Caenorhabditis elegans: one gene and its partner. The protein of the gene in region 1 purifies or fractionates together with the protein of each later gene. This does not show direct contact. Each region holds a gene or a part of one and is shown in the gene's direction. Other genes may lie near its edges.

What was found.
Region 2: the proteins of aco-2 (region 1) and tpi-1 fractionate together in Caenorhabditis elegans (co-fractionation; one large-scale study listed by BioGRID). This does not show direct contact.

What each region holds. Positions count from the first base shown.
Region 1 is NC_003281.10:7,971,063-7,978,227, forward strand, and holds aco-2 (putative aconitate hydratase, mitochondrial), read left to right. Parts: upstream 1-2,654; 5' UTR 2,655-2,662; coding exon 2,663-2,740; intron 2,741-2,778; exon of another isoform or gene 2,779-2,784; coding exon 2,785-2,870; intron 2,871-3,525; coding exon 3,526-3,784; intron 3,785-3,853; coding exon 3,854-4,976; intron 4,977-5,035; coding exon 5,036-5,557; intron 5,558-5,630; coding exon 5,631-5,896; 3' UTR 5,897-6,187; coding exon of another isoform or gene 6,188-6,250; 3' UTR 6,251-6,293; downstream 6,294-7,165. Other genes in the region: F54H12.5 (uncharacterized protein), read right to left, coding at 1-90, 668-862, 907-1,040; eef-1B.1 (putative elongation factor 1-beta/1-delta 1), read right to left, coding at 1,402-1,535, 1,583-2,013, 2,132-2,208; C06G4.4 (uncharacterized protein), read right to left, coding at 6,188-6,250, 6,305-6,631. UniProt on the Caenorhabditis elegans protein: Catalyzes the isomerization of citrate to isocitrate via cis-aconitate.
Region 2 is NC_003280.10:12,035,452-12,041,401, reverse strand, and holds tpi-1 (Triosephosphate isomerase), read left to right. Parts: upstream 1-2,262; 5' UTR 2,263-2,269; coding exon 2,270-2,587; intron 2,588-2,810; coding exon 2,811-2,912; intron 2,913-3,824; coding exon 3,825-4,148; 3' UTR 4,149-4,567; downstream 4,568-5,950. Other genes in the region: cyn-16 (Spliceosome-associated protein CWC27 homolog), read left to right, coding at 4,667-4,708. UniProt on the Caenorhabditis elegans protein: Triosephosphate isomerase is an extremely efficient metabolic enzyme that catalyzes the interconversion between dihydroxyacetone phosphate (DHAP) and D-glyceraldehyde-3-phosphate (G3P) in glycolysis and gluconeogenesis.

The sequences.
Region 1 (7,165 bases):
AAATCCCAAAAATGTTGAAATACGGCAATGATGTCTTCATCGAAGTTTGTTGGAATACAAATTATTCGACTTTCATCGTAATTTTTTGTCCTGGAAACAATTTTTTGAGAGAGATTTCAGAAATCACATGGAGTGGAAATTTCTTCCGTATTATCCAGACACGAAATTCTGCGATTTTTGTGCCAAACCACGGTAACGGTCTCGACACGACAAGTTTTGTTGAAAGCGAGAATGCATGCGCCTTTGAAGAGTACTGTACTATCAAGCTTCCGGTGCTGCGGGATTTTCATCGTTTTCGCATATTAGGCAATAGTTCTTACTGTTGCCTTTCAGTTTCTAAATAAATACATATATTTATATAGAAACGTTATAGAAATTAATTAATTGAAAATTCCGCAGAAACGAAAGTTTCAGGTTACAGTAATCTTTAAAGGCGCAAACATCTCGCGAGAAAACAAAACAAAATTTGTCGGGTCGAGACGGGGTACAGTATTTTTTAGTATTTTGCGTCAGAAAATAATTGTTTTCGAAAATATTAAAGTCACAAAAATTCTGCAGTGTTTTTATTGTGAAAAAATAGCCAGAATCCTCAGATGTTAAGCGAGGACCAACCTAATTGTAACTTGAATGAAATATATGTACATATATTATATGTCCCAACACTTACCATGCGTCATATCGGCTGCCCTTGACTTTTCGTGAACACGCAGAAATATCGACAACAGAATTGAAATCAAACTCTAATGATTTGGATTTTGAGTTTAGTTGAATACGTCGAAAATGAAAATGCAAGGAATCAATTTTTAAGCAGCAAGTTTTCATGTAAATTTCACATTTTTTCGAAGCAAGTGATAGTTCCAACCTGAATTCAAGGTGTTTGTCTTATTATATAAAGTATTAACTTACAAATCAATAAAGTCTATATGAAGAAGTACATTCTTCAAAGCAAGTGTAGGAAGTGATAATAAACGAAAAGGTGACATTTTTTTGAATAACTGGAAATACAAAATGGGGAGAAGAGATCTCGAGATGAACAGCATGCGGGGTCTACTTACTATTAGAAAACATCGATTGGTTTTCCCACAAGGTAAAAATATATGGTCTCGTTGCGAACGGGAATCTGGACTGTATAGTGGTGACCCTGCCCACTTCAGTCTACCCCTTCCAATTATTCTTATATCGTAACTTTGTGCAATTATGAGACTTCATACGATTTTCAGAAGAGAATGAACTGTGCTTCTAATTTAATCATAGTTCTTTAAAAAACAATTTTTTTCGCTTTCGTAGTCGGGAGGATTTCTTATTGATGCTCAGAGTGTTTCTTTCAATGTTGTAACATTTTTTGCAATATATGGGTTCATTTATCTTGATGAAAACATAACAAGAAATATAAAGATTCCTCTAGATCTTGTTGAAGGCGACAATGTCGACGGATTGGACGTGATCCTCGAAGTCTCCGGTGATCTTCTCGATGAGGTCATCAACCGAAACCTTGAGATCCTCGATAACAGTGATGATCTGGAGCTTCTTGATTCCTGAAAGTTTACATAAATTTTAATTGTGTGAATTTCAATCCACTAACCGTATCCAATTGGGATAAGCTTAGCTCCTCCCCAGACAAGTCCGTCCATCTCGATAGAACGAACGAGCTTCTCCATCTCTCCGAGGTCGGTCTCATCGTCCCATGGCTTTACATCAAGAATGACTGAAGATTTAGCAATTGGTCCAGCCTTCTTGGCCTTCTTCTCGGCGTAAGCGGCGAGACGCTCCTCAACGATCTTTGCCTTCTCGGCATCTTCCTCCTCATCGTCGGATCCGAAAAGATCGAAGTCATCTCCATCAGCAGCAGCGGCAGCTGGAGCTGATCCTCCGGCGGAAGCCCAGGTCTTGCGCTCAGCATCAGTGTAAGAAGCTACATTAGCGTACCAACGGGCAACATTTGGATAGGTGGAGGCGTTTGGGGCGGATCCGAGAGCGGCGAAAAGTTGGGCGTCCTCTCCAGACAAGACGAAGCTATAATTTTCAAATTATTTCAATGAATAGACTATCTGAAAAATTTACAAGAGTTGATTACACCTATTTTCTGCATTTTTTCCTAAAAATTGCATAACTTCAGAATTTAAAGACTAACCCAGTGGCAAAAGCCTGCTCGGCGAGAGTAGTGTTGAAAGCAGCAAGTCCAGCTGGGCTCTTGACGTCGGCAACCATCTTTTCAGGAGTGAAACACGAAGGAATGATGCTAAAAGTCCTACAAATAGGTTAGTGAATAAAATCGTTGCGAGACTCAAAGTCTGTCGAAACCCCATGCGCCTTCAAACGAGCATAGCGCCAGTGATCATTCAATGGCGTGTTTGCTGACCGGAGGCGCCCAAGTTTCGCGCTTTCATTTCTCCTCCCATTCATTTTCGGCATGCACGCCGTCTCTGCTGACCGATGCGTTATCATTTTCTTTTCGGTTCGCTGCGGAATCACTTGTTTTCGTTCCGAGGGGTTATTTACTGCAGAGAAAAGCTTTTTAATTGTTCCAAATTAAGTTTTAGGCCTGTGTTTATGAATATTATCCTTTCTTTTAATTTTTTTAAATAGGTTCTATTTCTTTCCCTTTGTCGGACAGGAATTTCTGTGAAAATCTTTCATTGTTCTGTAATTTACAGGAGAAACCATGAATTCTCTTCTTCGGTTGAGCCACTTGGCTGGACCTGCACATTATCGCGCACTTCACTCCTCTTCGTCCATCTGGGTATTCAAACCTAAGCATAATTATTATAAATCTTTTGTTTTCAGAGCAAAGTTGCAATCAGTAAATTCGAGCCGAAGTCGTACCTCCCGTACGAGAAACTATCTCAGACTGTGAAGATTGTGAAAGACAGGTGTGTAAAGTTCAATTTGTTTAGCTTGTCAAGTACAAAGTATCTTCACTGCTTTCTGTTCGTTATCATACAATTAATGATGTTTATGGTGAATAGTCATGTGCGCCACTGACATTACAACACATACAGTTCAGTTATAGGTTCTTTTATGTTATTTCTAACTCTCGAATAGTGAAAGCTCACCCAAATCGCAGTCACAAGCCAAGGGTCGCAGAGAGAAACAAACAGAGTTCCGTTGTAATAAGAAGATGGGTTAGAGCGTCATTGAGAGAACCAAGAAAACGTCGAATCTTTTCCATCTCTGTTCTCTGATTAATGTCAACATGTTGTGAGAGGGCGTTTTGACCATAATACAGTTTCATAAGTGTACATCACTATTCTTTTCAACTTTTGATGATGCAAAATCTAATTTCTGGTGTCATTAATTGTGATGTCACAATAGAAATTATGAAAATTATCTAGTTGAACGTTGCATAGAAATTCATGTGGACCACATTCTCTAGTCTCCAGACTGGTCGAACTTTGAAGCCGAGGTGATATTTGCCGTGTGACAGTACTTTGAACTCATGAAGGAAACATCGTTAAGTCTAACTAAAAACTTTAAAAATAGATTTTAGTTTTTCTACTGATAAAAACAAAAAATATATTGTTTCAGATTGAAACGTCCATTGACGCTTTCCGAAAAGATTCTCTATGGACATTTGGATCAACCAAAAACTCAAGATATTGAGAGAGGAGTTTCATACCTTCGTCTTCGTCCAGATCGTGTTGCTATGCAAGATGCTACCGCTCAAATGGCTATGCTCCAATTCATCAGCTCCGGACTTCCAAAGACAGCTGTTCCATCAACTATTCATTGCGATCATTTGATTGAAGCTCAAAAGGGTGGAGCCCAAGATTTGGCCCGTGCTAAGGTTTGTGATATTTGCGAAAAAATTATTTTACTTAAATTTTCTTCACCCTAAATATATTTCGATTTCTAGGACCTCAACAAAGAAGTCTTCAACTTCCTTGCTACTGCTGGAAGCAAATATGGAGTTGGATTCTGGAAGCCAGGATCTGGAATTATCCATCAAATCATTCTTGAGAACTACGCTTTCCCAGGACTTCTTCTCATCGGAACTGATTCTCACACACCTAACGGAGGAGGACTTGGAGGACTTTGTATTGGAGTTGGTGGAGCCGATGCTGTAGATGTTATGGCTGATATTCCATGGGAGCTCAAGTGCCCGAAGGTCATTGGAATCAAACTCACTGGAAAGCTCAACGGATGGACTTCTGCCAAGGACGTTATCTTGAAGGTTGCTGATATCCTCACTGTCAAAGGAGGAACTGGAGCTATTGTTGAGTATTTCGGCCCAGGAGTGGATTCTATTTCTGCAACTGGAATGGGAACCATCTGCAACATGGGAGCCGAAATCGGAGCTACGACATCTGTCTTCCCATACAACGAGAGCATGTACAAGTATCTGGAAGCTACTGGACGTAAAGAAATCGCCGAAGAAGCCAGAAAGTACAAAGATCTCCTCACTGCTGACGATGGAGCTAACTATGATCAAATCATCGAGATCAACCTCGACACTCTTACTCCACATGTCAACGGACCATTCACTCCAGATCTTGCCTCTTCCATCGACAAACTTGGAGAAAACGCCAAGAAGAACGGATGGCCACTCGATGTAAAGGTCTCACTTATCGGATCATGCACCAACTCTTCATACGAAGACATGACCCGTGCTGCTTCCATTGCCAAACAAGCTCTTGATAAGGGACTCAAGGCTAAGACCATTTTCACCATCACCCCAGGATCCGAGCAAGTCCGTGCCACTATTGAAAGAGACGGACTCTCCAAGATTTTCGCTGATTTCGGAGGAATGGTTCTCGCAAATGCCTGTGGACCATGTATTGGACAATGGGATCGTCAGGATGTGAAGAAGGGAGAAAAAAACACAATTGTCACATCATACAACCGTAACTTCACCGGAAGAAATGATGCGAACCCAGCCACTCACGGTTTCGTTACTTCTCCAGATATCACAACTGCTATGGCCATCTCCGGACGTCTTGACTTCAATCCACTTACTGATGAGCTCACCGCCGCTGATGGTTAGTAACATTTTGAATAGTTATATTTTTTCATTACTCAACCTCGTTTATCATTTCAGGAAGCAAATTCAAACTCCAGGCTCCAACTGGACTCGACCTTCCACCAAAGGGTTACGATCCAGGAGAGGACACATTCCAAGCCCCATCTGGAAGCGGACAGGTTGATGTATCTCCATCTTCTGATCGTCTTCAACTTTTGTCTCCATTCGACAAGTGGGATGGAAAGGACCTCGAAGATATGAAGATCCTCATCAAGGTTACCGGAAAATGTACTACTGATCACATTTCTGCTGCTGGACCATGGCTCAAATATCGTGGACATTTGGACAACATTTCGAATAATCTTTTCCTTACGGCTATCAATGCTGACAACGGAGAGATGAACAAGGTCAAGAACCAAGTTACTGGAGAATATGGAGCCGTTCCAGCCACTGCCCGCAAATACAAGGCTGATGGAGTTAGATGGGTTGCTATCGGAGACGAGAACTACGGAGAGGGTTCATCTCGCGAACATGCTGCTCTTGAGCCACGTCATCTTGGAGGAAGAGCTATCATCGTGAAATCCTTCGCCCGTATTCACGGTCAGTTAGTCTTCAAAATAAATAAAATTTACCTTGCTTATTTCCTCAACGCGCCATAACTTATTTTTTTCAGAGACGAACTTGAAGAAACAAGGAATGCTCCCACTCACATTTGCCAACCCAGCTGACTACGACAAAATCGATCCATCAGACAATGTTTCTATCGTCGGACTCTCCAGTTTTGCTCCAGGAAAGCCACTTACGGCTATTTTCAAGAAGACCAATGGATCAAAGGTGGAAGTGACCTTGAATCACACCTTCAACGAGCAACAAATCGAGTGGTTCAAGGCCGGATCTGCCCTCAACAGAATGAAGGAAGTATTCGCAAAGAGCAAATAAATGTTTCATTGGAAAACTATTTTCTCTTCAAAACCTGTAGTAAATACTCATTTTCAACAAACTGTAATGTAATGTATACTGAATTGAAGTATTTTGAAAATTCATTAGAGAAGTGAAAAACATTTTCTAAATACTTCAGTTCATTCCCAATTTTCCCATAGTAGTCATCACAACCTCCATGAGATTGTTTTTATGTATGAGTAGATATTGTTTTGTTTCGTTTTCGTTTTTTTGTAATTGATTCTTATTTCCATGAAAAGACACAACTATTTATTCTTGTTCATTTATTGATCATTTACGAAGACGGGCGAAGATACTGAGGGCCACCGTGACGATTCCAACGCCAAGAAGAGCCTTTAAAATAAACTGATTGGAGTATACTCAAATGAAAGCTAAATCCAAATTTACCGAGTTATCATAAGTGAATGCACAGATCTTTGATGCCAGAGTGTTTTGTGAAGAATGATCAGTTGTTGTGGTTTCCATTGGATGCGAAGGATCAACCGGTCCGGCTTTTCCACCATCACCATCACTCTTCAGAAGATCATTCAACCAATCATCCTGTGATTCTTCATCACCATTTCCAACAACTTCAACGTCAGAAATATCACTGACAACCACGTCACCAGCTCTATCTTTAATCTTCATTTTGCGAAGTTTCTTAATGCGTCGCTGTTTTGCCACCGCTTTTTTATAATCAGCAGATTTTTCGCTTCTCTTCGGTGCTTCTGACATTATCGAAGTGGATTCAGCTGCAAGTTAGAAAAAATTAGGAAAGAAAAATAAATCCAATAAATTCACCTTTTCAATTAGCTTGTATTGAGTGATAAAAAACGAAGAACTGAATATTTTATGATGAAGTAATTGAACCGAATATTATAAACTTTACGTAGGAAATATACTTTTTCGCGTGATTAATTTTTAAATGTTTGTTTTTATATTCTGCATCTAATCATTGGTGAATTGCAATCTCGAACTCATTCTAGGCTTGATATTTTATTTGACTACGGTACTTTTTAAAGGCACAGACAACATTCGTTCATTGCTATGTTTTCGTTGCGAGACTCGTCGGCCGAAACATTGATTTGATTGTTTGTTTTTTGCGTTTTCTTTGCTAGAAATTTATTGAATTTCAGTATTTATTTCATATTATTTTTAAAAATATTATAATGTTATCAATTTAATTATTTTTTCTAAAGTCGTGCACTTTTTGAAAGAATTTTCTCATGTTTCAATCAAGCCAAATGATCTTTTAAACACTTTTTGTGT
Region 2 (5,950 bases), on another chromosome or scaffold:
ATAAAAAGTGTCACGAGGTAGTGGAAGTGATCACATCATATTTATTTGGTTTTCTTTCGACCGAAAAAATGAAAAAAAAATGATGTTGAACTTACAATGAGAGGCATTTTCGGGGGCGAAAAATCTAGAAAAAATTGTTTTTTTAAGCCTGATAATCTGATAATACTTCTAAGCTGCTGTGGATTTAACTATAAATCTGTAGGATAAAGGTTTTCAAAATTCGAAAAGCGTATGATTTTTAATGCTTAATTGTACCATGAAGAAGCACCAATAAATGGGCGGAGTTTGGCAATATATGGGCGGTGCTTTGCGAAGATTTAAATTTTCGAAAACGTCATATATAGAAAATTCGAATGATTTTTAGCTGCATTACTGCAAATTGAACTTAAAAATAGTGACTTTTTTTTCAAAAATTTCACAAAAATCCCGTCCATTTATTAATGTTTTGGTAAAAAATCGAGTTTTCGCCAAACTGCGACGTAAACGCAAAAAACCAATAAAAGGGCGGAGCGTTTTTTTGAAAAATCACTGTGATTTTAATTTCATTGTAATTTCTGATGTTTTCCAACATATTTTCCTGTAAATATATATTACTGGAACAAAATACTATGAGAATGCGTATTGCACAACATATTTGACGCGTAAAATATCTCGTAGCGAAAACTACTGTAACTCTTTAAATGACTACTGTAACGCTGGTGTCGATTTACGGGCTCGATTTTTTGAAATAAATAGAATATTAAAACTAAGCATCCATTTTGAAAATCGAGCCCCGTAAATCGGCATAAGCACTACAGTAGTCATTTTAAGAATTACTGTAGTTTTCGCTACAAGATATTTTGCGCGTCAAATATGTTGTGCAGTACGTATTCTCTGAATTTTGTGCTCCCGTAATAACCCTTCCCAATCGAATCTATCCACAAACACTCTTCTGCCATTCACACACACACACTACTCAGAACATTACAAAATACGTGCAAACTCGGACTGCGCCTTCTCTCTCCGTCTCTTCATTGTCTACACTGTATCGTCTCGTTTCTCTCGACTGCTGCTGCTGGCCAGCCAAAAAAAAGAAAAATAAAATCGAAGAAACCCCGCTATCTCACTTGTTGTGTAGTCTTGATTTCGATTGAAATTTGTTTCGAAAAAACAATGTCGAATTCGATTTTCCATTGTTATCTCTCGTCCTTATCAAACGTTGGCTATTGATCACGATTTTCGAAAGTCATTTGCGTCATTTTTAATTTTTGCCTAGACTCTAGAGTATCGACTTTTCACGATTTTCTTGTCAGTATTCTTGTCGAAAAGTGACTCGAATTTAATGAAAATTTGTCGTGTCGAGACCGGGTGTGTCTCAAAAATCGTAAAATTTCGCCTCTGGCTAATTTAGTATTCATTGGCAAATGTAAGAAAGGTATATAGTTCAGCAAAAATTCCTTTTGTGTTCGACTCGAAATTATCTGAAATTACCGAATTTCATAATGAAAATTCTTGAAAACTTCTCAAAAAAAGTTATGGCGGTACAAAAAATGACCTGAAATTAGTTAAAATTTGAAATTTGACCGTCTTGTCAAGCGGCTGGATGCTAACTTTTTGAAATCATCGTCTAATTATGGGTATATAAGTTAATTATCTTGCGTTTTCAACTCGATTTAGGTATATTTGAGGTCGATTTGTCACCAGATTTGGTTAAATTTGGTAACATCTGGGGGATACATCGAGCTTAAATGTACCAAAATCGAGTTGAAACTGCAACAAGAAATTAACTTGTATACCCAAAATTAGACGGTTATTTCAAAAAAGTTAGCCGCTTGAAAAGTCGGTTAAATTTCAAATTTTAACTAATTTCAGGTAATTTTTTGAGCCGCCATAACTTTTTGGAGGAGTTTTCAAGAAGTTTCATTATGAAATTCGGTGTTTTTAGACTATTTCGAGACTACTTAAACAATAAAAAACGTTCGACTAGACCATCTTTAGATAGTTAAGTTTTTGCTGAACTATATACTTTTCTTACATTTGCCAATCAATACTAAATTAGCTAGAGGCGAAATATTACGATTTTTGAGCCATACCAGGTCTCGAGACGACATTTTTAAAAATTAAATTTGAGCCACTTTTTGAAAAGAATACAGGGCAAGAAAATCGGGAAAATCGATACTCTCGGTTTCACAAAGAATAGCAATTCTTCTATCGTTTTCTCCTCCTTATTCTGAATTTCTATCCAAATTTCCCTCCAACAAAAAAATTCCATAATTCTTGTAGAATCAAGATGACTCGCAAGTTCTTCGTCGGAGGAAACTGGAAGATGAACGGAGACTATGCCTCCGTCGATGGTATCGTCACCTTCCTCAACGCCTCAGCCGACAATTCCTCCGTTGATGTCGTCGTTGCTCCACCAGCTCCATATCTGGCCTACGCTAAATCCAAGCTTAAAGCCGGTGTGCTTGTCGCCGCACAAAACTGCTACAAAGTGCCAAAGGGAGCATTCACCGGGGAAATTTCGCCGGCAATGATCAAGGATCTTGGATTGGAATGGGTGATCCTCGGACACTCGGAACGTCGTCATGTCTTTGGAGAAAGCGATGCTGTTAGTTTAATACATTTTGATTTGATCTTCGAAAAATTCGGGAAAAGATCTTCTCGAGACGCAGACTTTTCCACTGATTTCGCAAGAGTGTGCTGACGTCACATTTTTCTGGCAGAAAAATTCCCGCATTTTTTGTAGATCAAACCGCAATGAGACAGCCTGACACCAAGTGTCAATAAAAAATTCGAGTTTCAGGGAAATTAATCTGAAATTTCTTTTTCAGCTGATCGCTGAGAAGACCGTGCATGCTCTCGAGGCTGGAATTAAGGTCGTTTTCTGCATTGGGGAGAAGCTCGAGGAGCGTGAAGCCGGACACACCAAGGATGTAAGGGAGCAAAATACTGGAAATTATCGATTTTTCGCAAGAAAATTTGAAAATTCAACATTTTCAAACTTTCAGATTTTTTTTCTTAATTTTTTCGGGTAGAAAATCGATTTCTTCTAATATTTCAGTAGAAAAATCAAGTTTTTGAGATTTTTTGAAAATTCCAAAATGGTTTTGTTTCGAATTTGCACGTTTTTCGGGAATTTTTCAAAGTTTCTTCTTAAAAAATCCCTGAATTTTATAGTTTTGAGCTCAATTTTTCCTCAAAAAAAACGCAATATTTCTCTTTCTGCAACGAATATTAGAAATAATCGCTTCGAGACCCGATTTTTATGAATTTTCGTGAATTTTGAACAGAAAACATTTAATTTTATCATTTTCCAAAAAAGCGGAAAATTCCAACAAAAAATGGTCGCCAAAAATAATTCTTTTTTTTTTTGCCAAATTTTCAACAAAAAAATTGGTTCCGGCAATAAAAAAGAAAAAACTCCTGAAATAGTCGTTTCGAGACCCGATTTCTTATGAATTTTCTTGAATTTTGCAGAAAAGTTCAAAAAAAAATCTCCGAAGAAACATTTTTATTTAAAAATCTTCGAAAAATCGATTAAATTCCCTATTCCACGTGGTAAAACAAAAAAAGTTCAAAAATAATCGCTTCGAGACCCGATTTTTTAATGAATTTTCGTGAAATTTATATAAAAATACAAATTTAAATTCCCAAAAACGCGAAAAATTCAAAAAAAAAAAAGAATCCCGAAGAATATAAAATTTTCGAAAAATCGATAAAATTTGAAACAAAAAATTCCTGAAAAATAATACCCAATTCCTTATAAATAAAGATTTTTTTTAATGTTGTAGAAAAATAAATTTCAAAAATCGATCGCTTCGAGACCCAAATTTTCCAATTTCCAGGTAAACTTCCGTCAACTTCAAGCCATCGTCGACAAGGGTGTCAGCTGGGAGAACATTGTGATCGCCTACGAACCAGTTTGGGCCATCGGAACCGGAAAGACTGCTTCTGGAGAACAAGCCCAGGAGGTTCATGAATGGATCCGTGCATTCCTCAAAGAGAAGGTCTCACCAGCTGTCGCCGATGCCACGAGAATCATTTATGGAGGATCTGTGACTGCTGACAATGCGGCTGAGCTTGGAAAGAAGCCGGATATCGATGGATTCTTGGTCGGTGGAGCATCGTTGAAACCCGATTTTGTCAAGATTATCAACGCCAGATCTTAAATTATTATTTATTTCCCCCTATTTCACAGATTTTTCCGGATTTCCACTGATTTTTCACCGATTCCCCTAAATTTTGGTCGTAAAATTGGTTGATTTTCATTGATTCCCCTAATTTTTAGCCGTAAAATTAGCTGATTTTTCCCGGAATTTCAGCTTCAAAATTGTAGAATTTCCCTTAGTTTTCCCCAATTTTCCCCCAGATTTCCTCTAAATTATATTGTAAAATTAGCTGATTTTCATCAATTTTCCCGGAATTTTGACCGAAAAAAATCCAAAATTTGGGTGAATTCGTGAATTTTTTGGCTTGAAATTTGGCTTTTTCCTCTCTACAGTGTAGATATTAGTAGCAGCTTTTTTTTCCAGTATTTTTGATATTCAAAACCTATATATATTTATATAAATAAATTTCTTGCCGACAAATAACAAAAAATCGATATTTTCAAACAATAGTTACTTGTTCTGTGTGAATATTTCAGCCGGCGATTTTCAGATTTTTGCGGAAAATTTTCAGTTTTCAGATGAGTAATCAATATATCAACGAGCCGATTACGACGGGAAAGGTAAAATTATTGATTTTTATCGATTTTTGGTGGAAAAAATTGAATTTTCCAGAAAAAATGACCGAAAATTTCAATTTTTATCGATTTTTGAATAAAAATCGAAAATCCAGTGAAATTTTCGATTTTTCCGATGAAAAATTCGCGTATTTTTGCAATTTTTAAGCTGTAAAACGAAAATTTTGAGTTTTTTTTATCTAAAAATTGGCTAATTTCGAAAAATTTTGGATAATTTATTGAAAAATACGACCAATTTTGCACTTTTTGCGCCAAAACTACGTTTCCTGGTCTCGACACGACAATTTTTGTTTATTGCAAAGAGGTGTGCGCCTTTAAAGAGTACTGTAGTCTTGAACATTTTTTTAATCAAAAAATCTATAAAAATTCGAGACTACAGTAATCTTTAAAGGCGCACATCTTTTTAACAAAAATGTGTCGCTTCGAGACCCTAGGTACCGTAGTTTTGGCGCGAAAATCGCAGAATTCGTCATATTTTTCTCTTTTTTTTAAATTAAATATCCGAATTTTTTGAAATTTGTCAATTTTTAGAGGAAAAATCGAAAAAATATGACGAATTTTGCGCTTTTCGCGCCAAAAATACGGTATCTATGGTCTCGACACGACGACTTTTTGTTAACTGCAAAAAGGTGTGCGCCTTTAAAAAGAGTACTGTAGTCTTGAACATTTTTTTAATCAAAAAATCGATAAAAATTCGAAAATTTTTTATCCAAAAACTACAGTTTACTATGAAAAATTGATGAAAATTCGAATGTACAGTAATCTTTAAAAGCGCACATTTTTAAACAAAAATATGTCGCTTCGAGACCCTATGTACCGTTGTTTTGGCGCGAAAATTGCAGATTTCGTCATATTTTACTCCTTTTTAAAAATTAAATATCCGAATTTTTAAAAAGTTGTCAATTTTTAGATGAAAAATCGCAAAAATATGACAAATTTTGCGATTTTCGAGCCCAAACTACGGTACCTAGGGTCTCGACACGACAAAAAATTTTTGATTGCGAAAAGGTGTGCGCCTTTAAAGAGCTGTAGTTGCAAACTTTAAAATAAAATTACAGTAATCTTTAAAGGCGCACACGTATCTCAATTAGCAATAATAAAAATTCGTGTCGATACCCTAGGTACTGTAGTTTTGGCGCGAAAATCCCAAAATTTTGAAGAAATCGAAACAAATTGAATTTTCAAAAATTAAATAATTTCGAAAAAGCTTTAAAAAAATGTCTTTAC